Linked DNA regions of Rattus norvegicus. The main gene of each other region encodes a partner of the protein of the gene in region 2 in a complex. Links are inferred from orthologs where the notes say so. Each region holds a gene or a part of one and is shown on either strand. Other genes may lie near its edges.

Region 1 (5,108 bases), on a different chromosome or scaffold from region 2:
CACATAGAGACTCCCCAAAATACAATTTTTAAAATTGATTACAGGAGTGTATGACTCACTATGCCTGGTTTATAAATGCTGGGGTTCAAACAAAGGGCTTCTTGAATACTAGGCAAATGTTCTAGCAACTGAGATATAACCCCAACCCTTCACCATATCTATGGGAATACTCCCTGAGCAGGCTTCCCTCCAGACCAGAAATCCTTCATGGATTCTGACATTCTGACTTTGTCTCCTACTAGCTTTACACCACTTCAAGTTTCAGCCAACTGGTCTACTTGCAATTCCCGGATTGTTTTTTCCATCTGTTGAACTTTCCTCAGACTCCTCCCTCTATCTAGAAAGCATCCTGCTTCCCTGTCTGCACAATCATTACTACCCAGGCAGGTCAAGTAGCCCGGTTCTGGTTACTTTCTCTCTCTCTCTCTCTCTCTCTCTCTCTCTCTCTCTCTCTCTCTCTGTCTCTCTCTCTTTCTTTCTTTTCTTTCTTTTCTTTTTTCTCTCGCCTGCCTCACCACTGCAGCCCCGCTGACCACACACATTAACCTTAGGTCAAAGTTTATATGTTCTTATGTGTGTGTATGATTAGTTTGCCCACCAGTGTTTCTTAAACACCATACAATGGGAGTATGTACTAGGTACTTGACTGTGCTATCTAATTTAATTCAATCCTCACAACAGCCCTTCCAGATAGACATGACTCCCTCCATTTTATAGGATAGGAATCTGAGGCTGTCAGAAGTTAATAATCTTGATTCCTTACTAAATGGCAGAGTCATCACTCACTCAACAAATCTTATTCCGCTTCCTAGGCCCCCCTGGGCTTTTCAGTATGGATTGGGAAGTCCCTCTGGGGGCTATTAGAACAACAGCCTCAGGACCAGGCAGAGCATGTCAGAGGCAGTTTTCTCGTTGCACTATGTTTAAAGAAATGTTTGGGTCGCAGCCGGCACTTAGCCTGGGCCAGCACAGCGCTAAAGGAGTGATTCATGTGGACAAACATCGTCCAGGATGTTTAGATCCAGTGGTGACCCTGATTATTGTAAAACTGAGACAGGAGTGCCAGGCCCTGGCACACGTCCAGCTGTCTCCTCTCCCTGTGCACTGCCACCGCAATAAAACCTGTGGCCAAGTCACCCTTCTTCCTGCCTTGCTCCGGTTGGAGCTCTCAGCTTTTATAAATAAATAGTCCATGATAGCAATGCTTTCGCTTGGGTCAGCCTTGGATTGATAAGAGGCCCCGGCATTAATACCCTATAGGCTCCTCAGAAATCCATAAGAAAAAAGAGAAGAGACTGGGAAGACACAGTCTCCCTCGAACTAGATTTTCACCTTTTGGGGTTAGAAACCCCCAAACTCGTTGGATCCGTTCACAGTGCTCAGTGAAGAACTTGCAACAATGGACTCATTCTCTTCCTGATTATTTTGGAGTCAAGGGTGTTCAGAAGTTGTTTGCTCAAGGAGAGTGTAAACAGAGCTTGCTGGTGCCCCAGGCCAAGAGCATGCCTCCAAAGCTATTTCAACATGGCAAGAGGTGGGGGGTCTAGTTAAAGAAGCTGAACCAAGAAGTAGGGGTGAAGTATTTTGTATTTGAGGTCCATTTTTATCTACCATCTTCAAGACAGTCATCCCTGGGGTTGGTGTTAGCAGGACACCCATTTCACAGCTCCCCAAAGAGTGGAGTGTTCCCTTCCCACTGCCTCTGGCTCACTTACTCCTAAGCAAATATGGGTTGTTTAAACAGGTCTAAAGACAAAATATTCGCACAATGTAAAACTCTTACGTTAATATTCTTCCCTTCCTCTCAACCAAGATGGTGTAAGTGTCCAAGGCCTTCAAGGTCTCATCTGTCACAGTGGACAAAGACCTAATGATCAGTGGCAGTTGTATGGTAGAATTCTTATCTTCTACAAAGGAAATGGCAGTGTTTAACTCTTAAGCAAGGCAATTAGACCACAGGCCACCAAGGCCAGTGAACCAACATTACTGGGAAGCCATCCTGTTCTTGGTTATCTTTAAACTCCATCATGAAGTGGCTTGGTAAAAGTGTACACAGCCGGGGTATCATTGGGACTAGTAAACGTTCTCAAAGGCCCTCTGACTCGGGCCATTTTCAAGGGATCGCTGTTTTGTTCTCCTGTGAGTGTGTTCTTGACATGGGTATGAATATGGGTAAACACATCCCACAGCATGCACGTGAAGGTCAGAGATGACTGTGGAGCCTGCCTCTCACTACGGACCTGTGAATGATCTTGGATTTCTGTCCCTGCTGTCCCTACCTCCCAAGTGCCAGAGATTACAGACATGTGTCTCGACATCTGGTTTATTCGGTATTGGAGAATCAAACCCGGGGCCTCACACATGCTAGGCCAGCACTTATCAACTATGCAAAAGGTGAGAGATTTGAAAACAAAAGTCTAGCACTTTAGGAGGAACGCCAACTGTCAAACGTTAAGGTGGCAAGAGGTTAAAATAGTCCCCGTAGCTAGGTCCCAGTCATGGGGTGACTTCATTTTAAAAAAAAAATATTTTTTTATCTTATGTATATGAATGCTTGCCTGCATGCATGTATGTGTACCACATGCAGGCAGTGCCCTCAGAGGCCAAGACTGAGTGTCAAATCCCCTGACACTGGAATTACAGATGGCTGTGAGCAGCCATATGGGATCTGAGAACTGGATTCAGGTTCTCTACAAAGGCAGCAAGTTCTCTTAACCTCTGAGCCAGAGCCATTTTTTTTCTTCCTTTGTGGAACATGCTATGTCCTAGAACTCGATTGGTAGTTTAGGCGGGCCTCGAACTCACAGTGATCCACCTGCCTCTGCCTCCCAAGTGCTAGGATTAAAGGCATGCACCACCAAGTCTGGTACCCATGGGCCACTCAAATATTAATGAATCTTTTAGGCAAACATTATTTATATAAAAATCCCACTTGCTTCTTTTGGGATTTGCTATGTTATAGTCAGGCTAGTGGTTAGGACCCTACATAATAACACTTGTATTTATGGGACTGCACTGGCATTGTCAATTAACATTGGTGATTTACAGGGACTAATTTAACCCCTCAAAACCTTGGCTGGGCTTGATATTTAGCATCCCTCCTACAGCGCTAGACTTCTGACGTATTTTCAAATCTCTCACATTCTGCATAGATAAATTTTATTCTGCCTTCCCCAATAGAGTTTTTTGTAAATATTTCAACGTAGCTTCTACCATATGTTTTTTAAGTCACTTAGAGCACAAACCAAACATTGTTATTTCACTAATACAGAAACTAATTTTGCTATTCCTAAGGTCTTGTCATAGGCCCCCAAAAAACAATTTTCCAAAAGCATTTTGTTGTTGTTGTTAGAAGGCATTCACTACCTACTGCGCGAATTATGTTGATAACATTTTAGAGACACCTTGAAAAAGACTTATGGCATATGTTAAGAGAAGTTCAAAGGAGAGAGTGGGAGAAATATGTTAAAGAATTCAAAATCAAGAAAAGGTGTGTCATATGCTAAACACTAAATGAAGTGTGCAAGAGGACAGGCAAAGCGTTCCAACAGGGTCACAGCCAGCAGCTGTGGGCTACTGATGTTACCACAGAGGGCACTTATTAGGATCCTAAGGTCGATATCCCGAGCTTCCCATCCTCAGACTCCAGGGCTTCTGACCCCAGTCTACTACTGGTCCCTAACTTTACTTTTATCCCAGTCCCCTCCTTTCCTCTTTCTGTTTAGCTTCTCAGTGTTTTCAACCACTTTTTAGGTAACCCATCTGGAAAGCAACTCCTGTCTTCTTTCTCTTTCTGAGAACTGTCACTCTTTCGGACCTTACTCCTGGAGCCAGAGCTGCTGAAAGCTTGTGAGGGTAGTCTATTTTAGGAGTCCTCCAATGGGCTGGCCTCACCCATGACGATGCCAGCCTGCTTCCCTCCCCCCAACCCCTACTTATTCCTAGAAAAAAAATTGAACTCTGTGGTCCCTGAAACTGTGACTGGATCTACAAGGTCTGTATTCTGGATCTAAGCTCTTTTTTTTTTTTTTCTTTTTTTGGTGACCAAAGTGAGATCAGGTCAAGGGGGTGGAGTGGACAGTACCTCTTTGCAGGCGTGAAGCTCGGGTCCGGTTCCCAGGGTCACCTGGAAGGTGGTCCCAGCCCAAAGCAACAGCCACAGAAGCCGGGATGTGCGCCTTTCAGTTCTTCCGCCTTCTCTGGCAGAAGGTTGGGGGTTGTGACCAGGCTCAGCCATAGCGCTGTCCTGAGCCAGCGGCAGTAGCGGCTCAGGTGCTGCGGTAGCTGCTTATGCTGGCAGAAGGAGGAAAAAAAAAAAAAAGAAAAAGAGGAGGGAGGTACACAGAGGAGGATGCAAGGGGCTGGACTCGCTTCAGTCACCTCCCTGCGGCTACGCCAAGGCCGCCCATCCCTCCTCCCTCGGTCCTCTCCTCCTCCTATCCATGTCGCCTTGACAACCGCATCCTCTTCGCTCAGCGCGGGTGGGGCAAGGACCACGCGCGCCTGTGCCGCTCACCTGCCGGTCTCCATGGCAGCCGCCACCGCTGGCGCGCGGCATGGGAGTGCACGCGCCAGGGTTTGCAAGTAACCGAATAGGCTTACGTTACGTAAAGCACGCAGTAGAAGAACCTTCAAAACATCTGCAGCGGCTCATTTCGCACCTATTACTCTTCCGGGCCGGGAGGCTATTTCTAAGCTTCTCTTATTTTGTAAACATGGCTTATAAAACGATTGGGGGAAGACAGAGGTCTTCGTCATCTTCCAGGGATCGTCTCCTAGAGTGGCCCCAGCAGTAACTGCAAAATTTAGTTCCATCCTTCCACCCCGCCAAGTCCATTCACGTTTTTACAGCCGTCTCGGTGAGCAACCCTGACGTCTGCATAGTTAAACAGCGAGGGTGACCTAATCGACAATTTTCCAACTAGGACACGTGAGATCTTTGATTTTTTTTTTTTTTGACATTCTCTTACTCTCATTGATTTGAAAATGGGGAAGCTTTCTTTTAAGTGAAGGCGAGAAGGAAACCTTTGGGTCATCTTTTAGTACTTCTTTCGTTAGCTTTTGCAGAAATCCCACGCCGTGGGAAGCCAGCGTTTTCCAACTGAGGC
Region 2 (5,186 bases):
GGCTAGAAGAACTCATGGCCACCATTGTTAGCACAACCTGCAGCTGCTACATTCCCAAGGCCCTCGATCCCACACCAGCCGGAATGAATGGACTCCACAGGGCTCAGCAACAGTGTCGCAGATTACCAAGTCCCTGCTACTGAAGGGGAAGCCATCTGTCAAAATCCACATTTTCAGCTTGGTGCCCAAACAAATAATCTCTTTTCCTCTAAAATTTCATCCTGCAAATTACCAGTGGTCTGCAGCTCGGAGACTCTCTATATAGATCTTCCTTGCCGACAACGGAGCCTTTCTACATAGCAAAAGAGTGCCACTGTAATCTATCTCCTAGGGGTGAAAGCAAGGCATTTTTGTCCCAAGGGGCAATTGAGCAACGACCACAGTAGCAGTGGGGCGAGCCTCTACAGTTCCCACAGTCAGAAAGAAGCCCAGCTGCGGAAAGGGGCTATTTACGGAATTCAGGGAACTACACAAAACTGCACAGGGCTGGCACTGCACAGTTGTCTGGGGATGAAAACAACATCGCAAAAATGGTTTCCTTTTTATATTATAATACTCTCCTCTTTTTAATTTGGCATCTCAGCTATTTTTTACTTGGTATCACCCCCTCCCCCTCAAAAAAAAGGAGCGCTGGAGAAATACAAGCCCACACAAAGAGCTCGTTTTTAAACTCACTCCTTTCTCCTTACAGTTTCTGAATTCCGTATTAGAAGGGATGGCTCATTTCTAGGGACAAAATAACACAGGCTCTGGGGTGAGGTAGGGTCGGGTAAGGGGGCGAGCGGGGAGGGGTGATGGGAGAGCACTACCGCTAAAGAAAGCAAGCTCTCTAGTAAAGCGTTAAGTACTACTTTGTATATTGTTTCTCTTTTTTCCTTTCTCTCTCTCTCTCTCTTTGTTTGTTTTTGGTTTTTGAGACAGGATATCACACTATATATCCAGGCCGGGTACAAAATAACCGCAGTCCTCCGCTTCCCAATGCTGGGATTTACAGGCATAAACCACTAAGGGCGGTTATGATGACCTTGAGCTGCAAGTCTTCCTGCCTCTGCCTCCCAGGTGCTGTTGAGGGTCATAGGCGTGGTCTATTCATACTGAGCTTCTGAATTTTGCTCAAATATTAATAATAATAGTAATAATAATAATAACCACAATAATACAACTGTAAAACTAAACATTTACCCACGCCTTTTTGACCATCATTCCCATAGCTCTTGCTACTTTATTTAAAGCGAACAGAGATGTTGAATCCTGACGGAACGTATTTAAATTTAGTGTAGTATAAATGAAAAGCTGGAATTTACCATAAAGAATCTCAACACAAATTCTGTGATTAAGTGTTGGGGAAAACCTTAAATTATCCTAACTACAGTTTAAGGTTTAAGCTCCGTATAATCACCCAACCCCCGTTTTCTTTCTTCCCTCTCTACCCCTCCCCAGCTCCACCCCATAATGGATGCTCGGCTAGTTGCTTTTGCGAGGCCTTTGTCTGAAGGATGCAAAATCTACGGATGCTAGCGAGGGGGGGAAGGGGGGAGAGATTACCTCATACCATGTCGCTTGCACCAATCACCACTCTCCTGTCGCGGCTTCTCTGGGCAGACGGAGGGGTCTGGACCAACAGGAAAAGGCCTTGGCCCATCCCCATGGTGACCGAGCTGTATATAAGGAGGCGCATCCGCCCAAGTGCCGCAGGTTCTCTTACATCGACCGCTTAAGAGTCGCGCTGTAAGAAGCAACACCTCCTCCTCGCCTCCGCCATCCACCCGGCAGCCGCGAAGCAGCAACCATGGTGAGCAAACCTTCCCGGGCTCTCAGGAGCGGGTGGGTGTCAGCCGGCTCAGTCTGCAAGGAGACGCCTAAGCCTTTTGTCATCTCTGCGGGGAAGGGTGGTCTGGATGCTTTAAGTTTAGCTTAGTCCGTGAGTCCCGCCGCCGCAGTGCGGGACACGGAAACGCCCAGACCGGGAAGAACAAAGGCTGCGCCGGCGAGCGATTGCTGGCAGAGCCCGGGACCACAGGGGACCGGCGGGGGAGAGGGAGGGTGCCGCAGGGTCTGCTGCAGCAGGAGGGCAGGGCGGCGGCCGAGCCCGCACTCCAGAAACGCCGCCCTAACTCGCTGGGAAAATAGTTTGCCTGGGATCCATGGCAGCCGCTGTCAGGGAGGCGCAGGGGCGGGGTTGTTTGTCTCTTGCTTCCGTGGCGTTTTGGGAGGGGTTCGCTCTCACTAAGCCTCACTCCCGAGCTGGGTTTTTTATTATTATTATTATTAATTTTTATTTTTAAAAAGAATCGTTGGGGAATTGTAGTCTTACGAGATGCTCCACGGGGCCATCTCGCTGGGTGGGGGGAGGGGAGCTGGATGGTTGGGAATGACAAAGCCCACTTTGTGAAGCCCGAGTAGCTGACGGTCAGAACCCAGGGAAACGCCCTTCCCCGCCCCCAACCCCCGCAGACAATGAAAGTTGTCCCTCCAAGGCAGAAGTGTCTCTCTCTATAGAATAGTGGTTTATTATGTTGTATGTAGAGATTCATCGGATAAAAATACTATTTTCTACTTTTAAATATTAGTTATCTTTTCACTTGTTTTTTTTTTAATTGTTGGCACTAATTGTGTGCACTGTGTTTCTAACTTAGCCTGCTTTAAGAATGTTTCCGTCCCATCCAATAGAAAACCTTCAAAAACCATAATGATTCTGCTGCAAAGAAAAAAAAAATGATACTCTGCACCCGACTGCCTTTTGTTCTAATATATGACACTCATTCATTAATTCAGGCAGATGGCCCCAGGCAGGGTTGGGAGGCACGCAGAAAGCTGCACAAAGAGATCACGTAGACAGCTTCTGGAAATAGAGCTTTCTCTGTTAAATAATGTAACAGACCACAGGCTAGAGCCAGGCACAGAGAACGCGGCAATGCAGAAGTCAGACTCAATAGCAGGTAACCTAGCCTAGTACTGACCGGGCCCACAGAAGGGTGTGGCTGCTGGCCTCAGCCGCACTGCAGATGTCCACATTGAAATACCAGGTCCTATAGGATGAAACCTTAAACTTTGTGAGACTCGGTCTAGCTTGCAGCTTAGCCAGAGTACTAATGGGGTCCACAGAAGGGTGTGGCTGCTGGCCTCAGCCGCACTGCAGATGTCCACGTTGAAATACCAGGTCCTGTAGGATGAAACCTTCATCCTTACTTAACAAGAAAAGAAGCAATTAATGTAATTTCGGGTAATTATTTCATTTTACAGAATCTATGTTTTGAATATTTTTCAAATATGAAGACTTCTATTCAAACACTGCTATGGGAACAATGGGTTGGCACCATGTCTTAAGCAGTACTAAGGTGACATTGAGGCCACACCCACTTTCAGTATTGGTAGTGGGTACTCCTTCCTCATTGTGTCTGTCATATTAGGGATATGACACTAAATAAATTTAAACAATGTTTGTATTTTTAGAAACACTTTAGAAATCTATTAAAATCTAAAATAGAAGTACAGCTTAATATTACAACAACTTAATTTTATGATATTTTTTCCCCCTTTCCACAGCGTGAGTGTATCTCCATCCACGTCGGCCAGGCTGGTGTCCAGATCGGCAATGCCTGCTGGGAGCTCTACTGCCTGGAACATGGCATCCAGCCTGATGGCCAGATGCCAAGCGACAAGACCATTGGGGGAGGAGATGACTCCTTCAACACCTTCTTCAGTGAGACAGGAGCTGGCAAGCACGTGCCCCGGGCGGTGTTCGTAGACCTGGAACCCACAGTTATTGGTAAGTGGACTGGGGGCTTCCCTGGGGCAGTCCTTCTTGGTCACATACTCAGAATGTCTCTCCAGACCCGGAAGGGTGAGTGAGCTTGTGGGGTCCTTGGTGGTGATGGCTGATGTCTTCTCCTTTTTCAGATGAAGTTCGCACTGGCACCTACCGCCAGCTCTTCCACCCAGAGCAGCTCATCACAGGCAAGGAAGATGCTGCCAATAACTATGCCCGTGGCCACTACACCATTGGCAAGGAGATCATTGACCTTGTCTTGGACAGAATTCGCAAGCTGGTAAATGCCCTATGTGGATGGGTTTAAAATGCAGTGGGAGGGTGTCTTGGTATCTGTCAAAATGTGTCAGGTCTTTCCTATCAGGTAGAGATGGCTCACAGTCTAAAGGAATTGAAATAGTGTATGCCCTGGTAATAAGACATTATATGTCCTTTTCTCCCACAGGCTGACCAGTGCACGGGTCTCCAGGGCTTCTTGGTTTTCCACAGCTTTGGTGGGGGAACTGGCTCTGGGTTCACCTCCCTGCTGATGGAGCGGCTCTCTGTCGACTACGGAAAGAAGTCCAAGCTGGAGTTCTCCATTTACCCAGCCCCCCAGGTTTCCACTGCTGTGGTTGAGCCCTACAATTCCATCCTCACCACCCACACCACCCTGGAGCACTCTGATTGTGCCTTCATGGTAGACAATGAGGCCATCTATGACATCTGTCGTAGAAACCTCGACATTGAGCGCCCAACCTACACTAACTTAAACAGGTTGATAGGTCAAATTGTGTCTTCCATCACTGCTTCCCTCAGATTTGATGGGGCCCTGAATGTTGATCTGACAGAATTCCAGACCAACCTGGTGCCCTACCCTCGCATCCACTTCCCTCTGGCCACTTATGCCCCTGTCATCTCTGCTGAGAAAGCCTACCATGAACAGCTTTCTGTAGCAGAGATCACCAATGCCTGCTTTGAGCCAGCCAACCAGATGGTGAAATGTGACCCTCGCCATGGTAAATACATGGCTTGCTGCCTGCTGTACCGTGGTGATGTGGTCCCCAAAGATGTCAATGCTGCCATTGCCACCATCAAGACCAAGCGTACCATCCAGTTTGTGGACTGGTGCCCCACTGGCTTCAAGGTTGGCATTAATTACCAGCCTCCCACTGTGGTCCCTGGTGGCGACCTGGCCAAGGTCCAGAGAGCTGTGTGTATGCTGAGCAACACCACAGCCATTGCTGAGGCCTGGGCTCGCCTGGATCACAAGTTTGATCTGATGTATGCCAAGCGTGCCTTTGTGCACTGGTACGTGGGTGAGGGCATGGAGGAGGGAGAGTTCTCTGAGGCCCGTGAGGACATGGCTGCCCTAGAGAAGGATTATGAGGAGGTTGGTGTGGATTCTGTGGAGGGTGAGGGTGAGGAAGAAGGAGAG

The links. The genes of interacting proteins can lie anywhere in the genome.
Region 1: the proteins of Tuba1a (region 2) and Cfap276 are in contact, whole or in part, in a cryo-EM structure (PDB 7UNG), measured with the Homo sapiens proteins. The link is inferred for Rattus norvegicus from reciprocal best matches to the Homo sapiens genes TUBA1A and CFAP276. Residues at the interface, in NP_001257328.1 of Homo sapiens: Lys112, Glu113, Ile115, Asp116, Leu117, Leu119, Asp120, Arg123, Lys124, Asp127, Arg156, Ser158, Val159, Asp160, Gly162, Lys163, Leu195, Glu196, His197, Ser198, Asp199, Tyr262, Pro263, Arg264, Trp346, Lys430, Asp431, Glu434, Val435, Val437; in NP_001231954.1 of Homo sapiens: Pro43, Trp44, Arg46, Leu47, Asn48, Thr50, Pro51, Thr52, Ile53, Thr54, Ser55, Arg57, Arg58, Ala60, Tyr62, Asp64, Ile67, Pro68, Lys69, Asp70, Asp71, Phe74, Arg75, Lys90, Ser91, Leu94, Leu95, Asn96, Lys98, Thr99.

What each region holds. Positions count from the first base shown.
Region 1 is NC_086020.1:198,852,192-198,857,299, forward strand, and holds the start of Cfap276 (cilia- and flagella-associated protein 276), read left to right. Parts: upstream 1-1,937; 5' UTR 1,938-2,040; intron 2,041-4,084; coding exon of another isoform or gene 4,085-4,237; exon of another isoform or gene 4,238-4,306; intron 4,307-4,526; exon of another isoform or gene 4,527-5,058; 5' UTR 5,059-5,108. Other genes in the region: Elapor1 (endosome-lysosome associated apoptosis and autophagy regulator 1 isoform 1 precursor), read right to left, coding at 4,085-4,237. UniProt on the Homo sapiens protein: Microtubule inner protein (MIP) part of the dynein-decorated doublet microtubules (DMTs) in cilia axoneme, which is required for motile cilia beating. May play an important role for the maintenance of myelin-axon integrity.
Region 2 is NC_086025.1:131,992,357-131,997,542, reverse strand, and holds the start of Tuba1a (tubulin alpha-1A chain), read left to right. Parts: upstream 1-1,723; 5' UTR 1,724-1,789; coding exon 1,790-1,792; intron 1,793-3,546; coding exon 3,547-3,769; intron 3,770-3,900; coding exon 3,901-4,049; intron 4,050-4,214; coding exon 4,215-5,186. UniProt on the Homo sapiens protein: Tubulin is the major constituent of microtubules, a cylinder consisting of laterally associated linear protofilaments composed of alpha- and beta-tubulin heterodimers.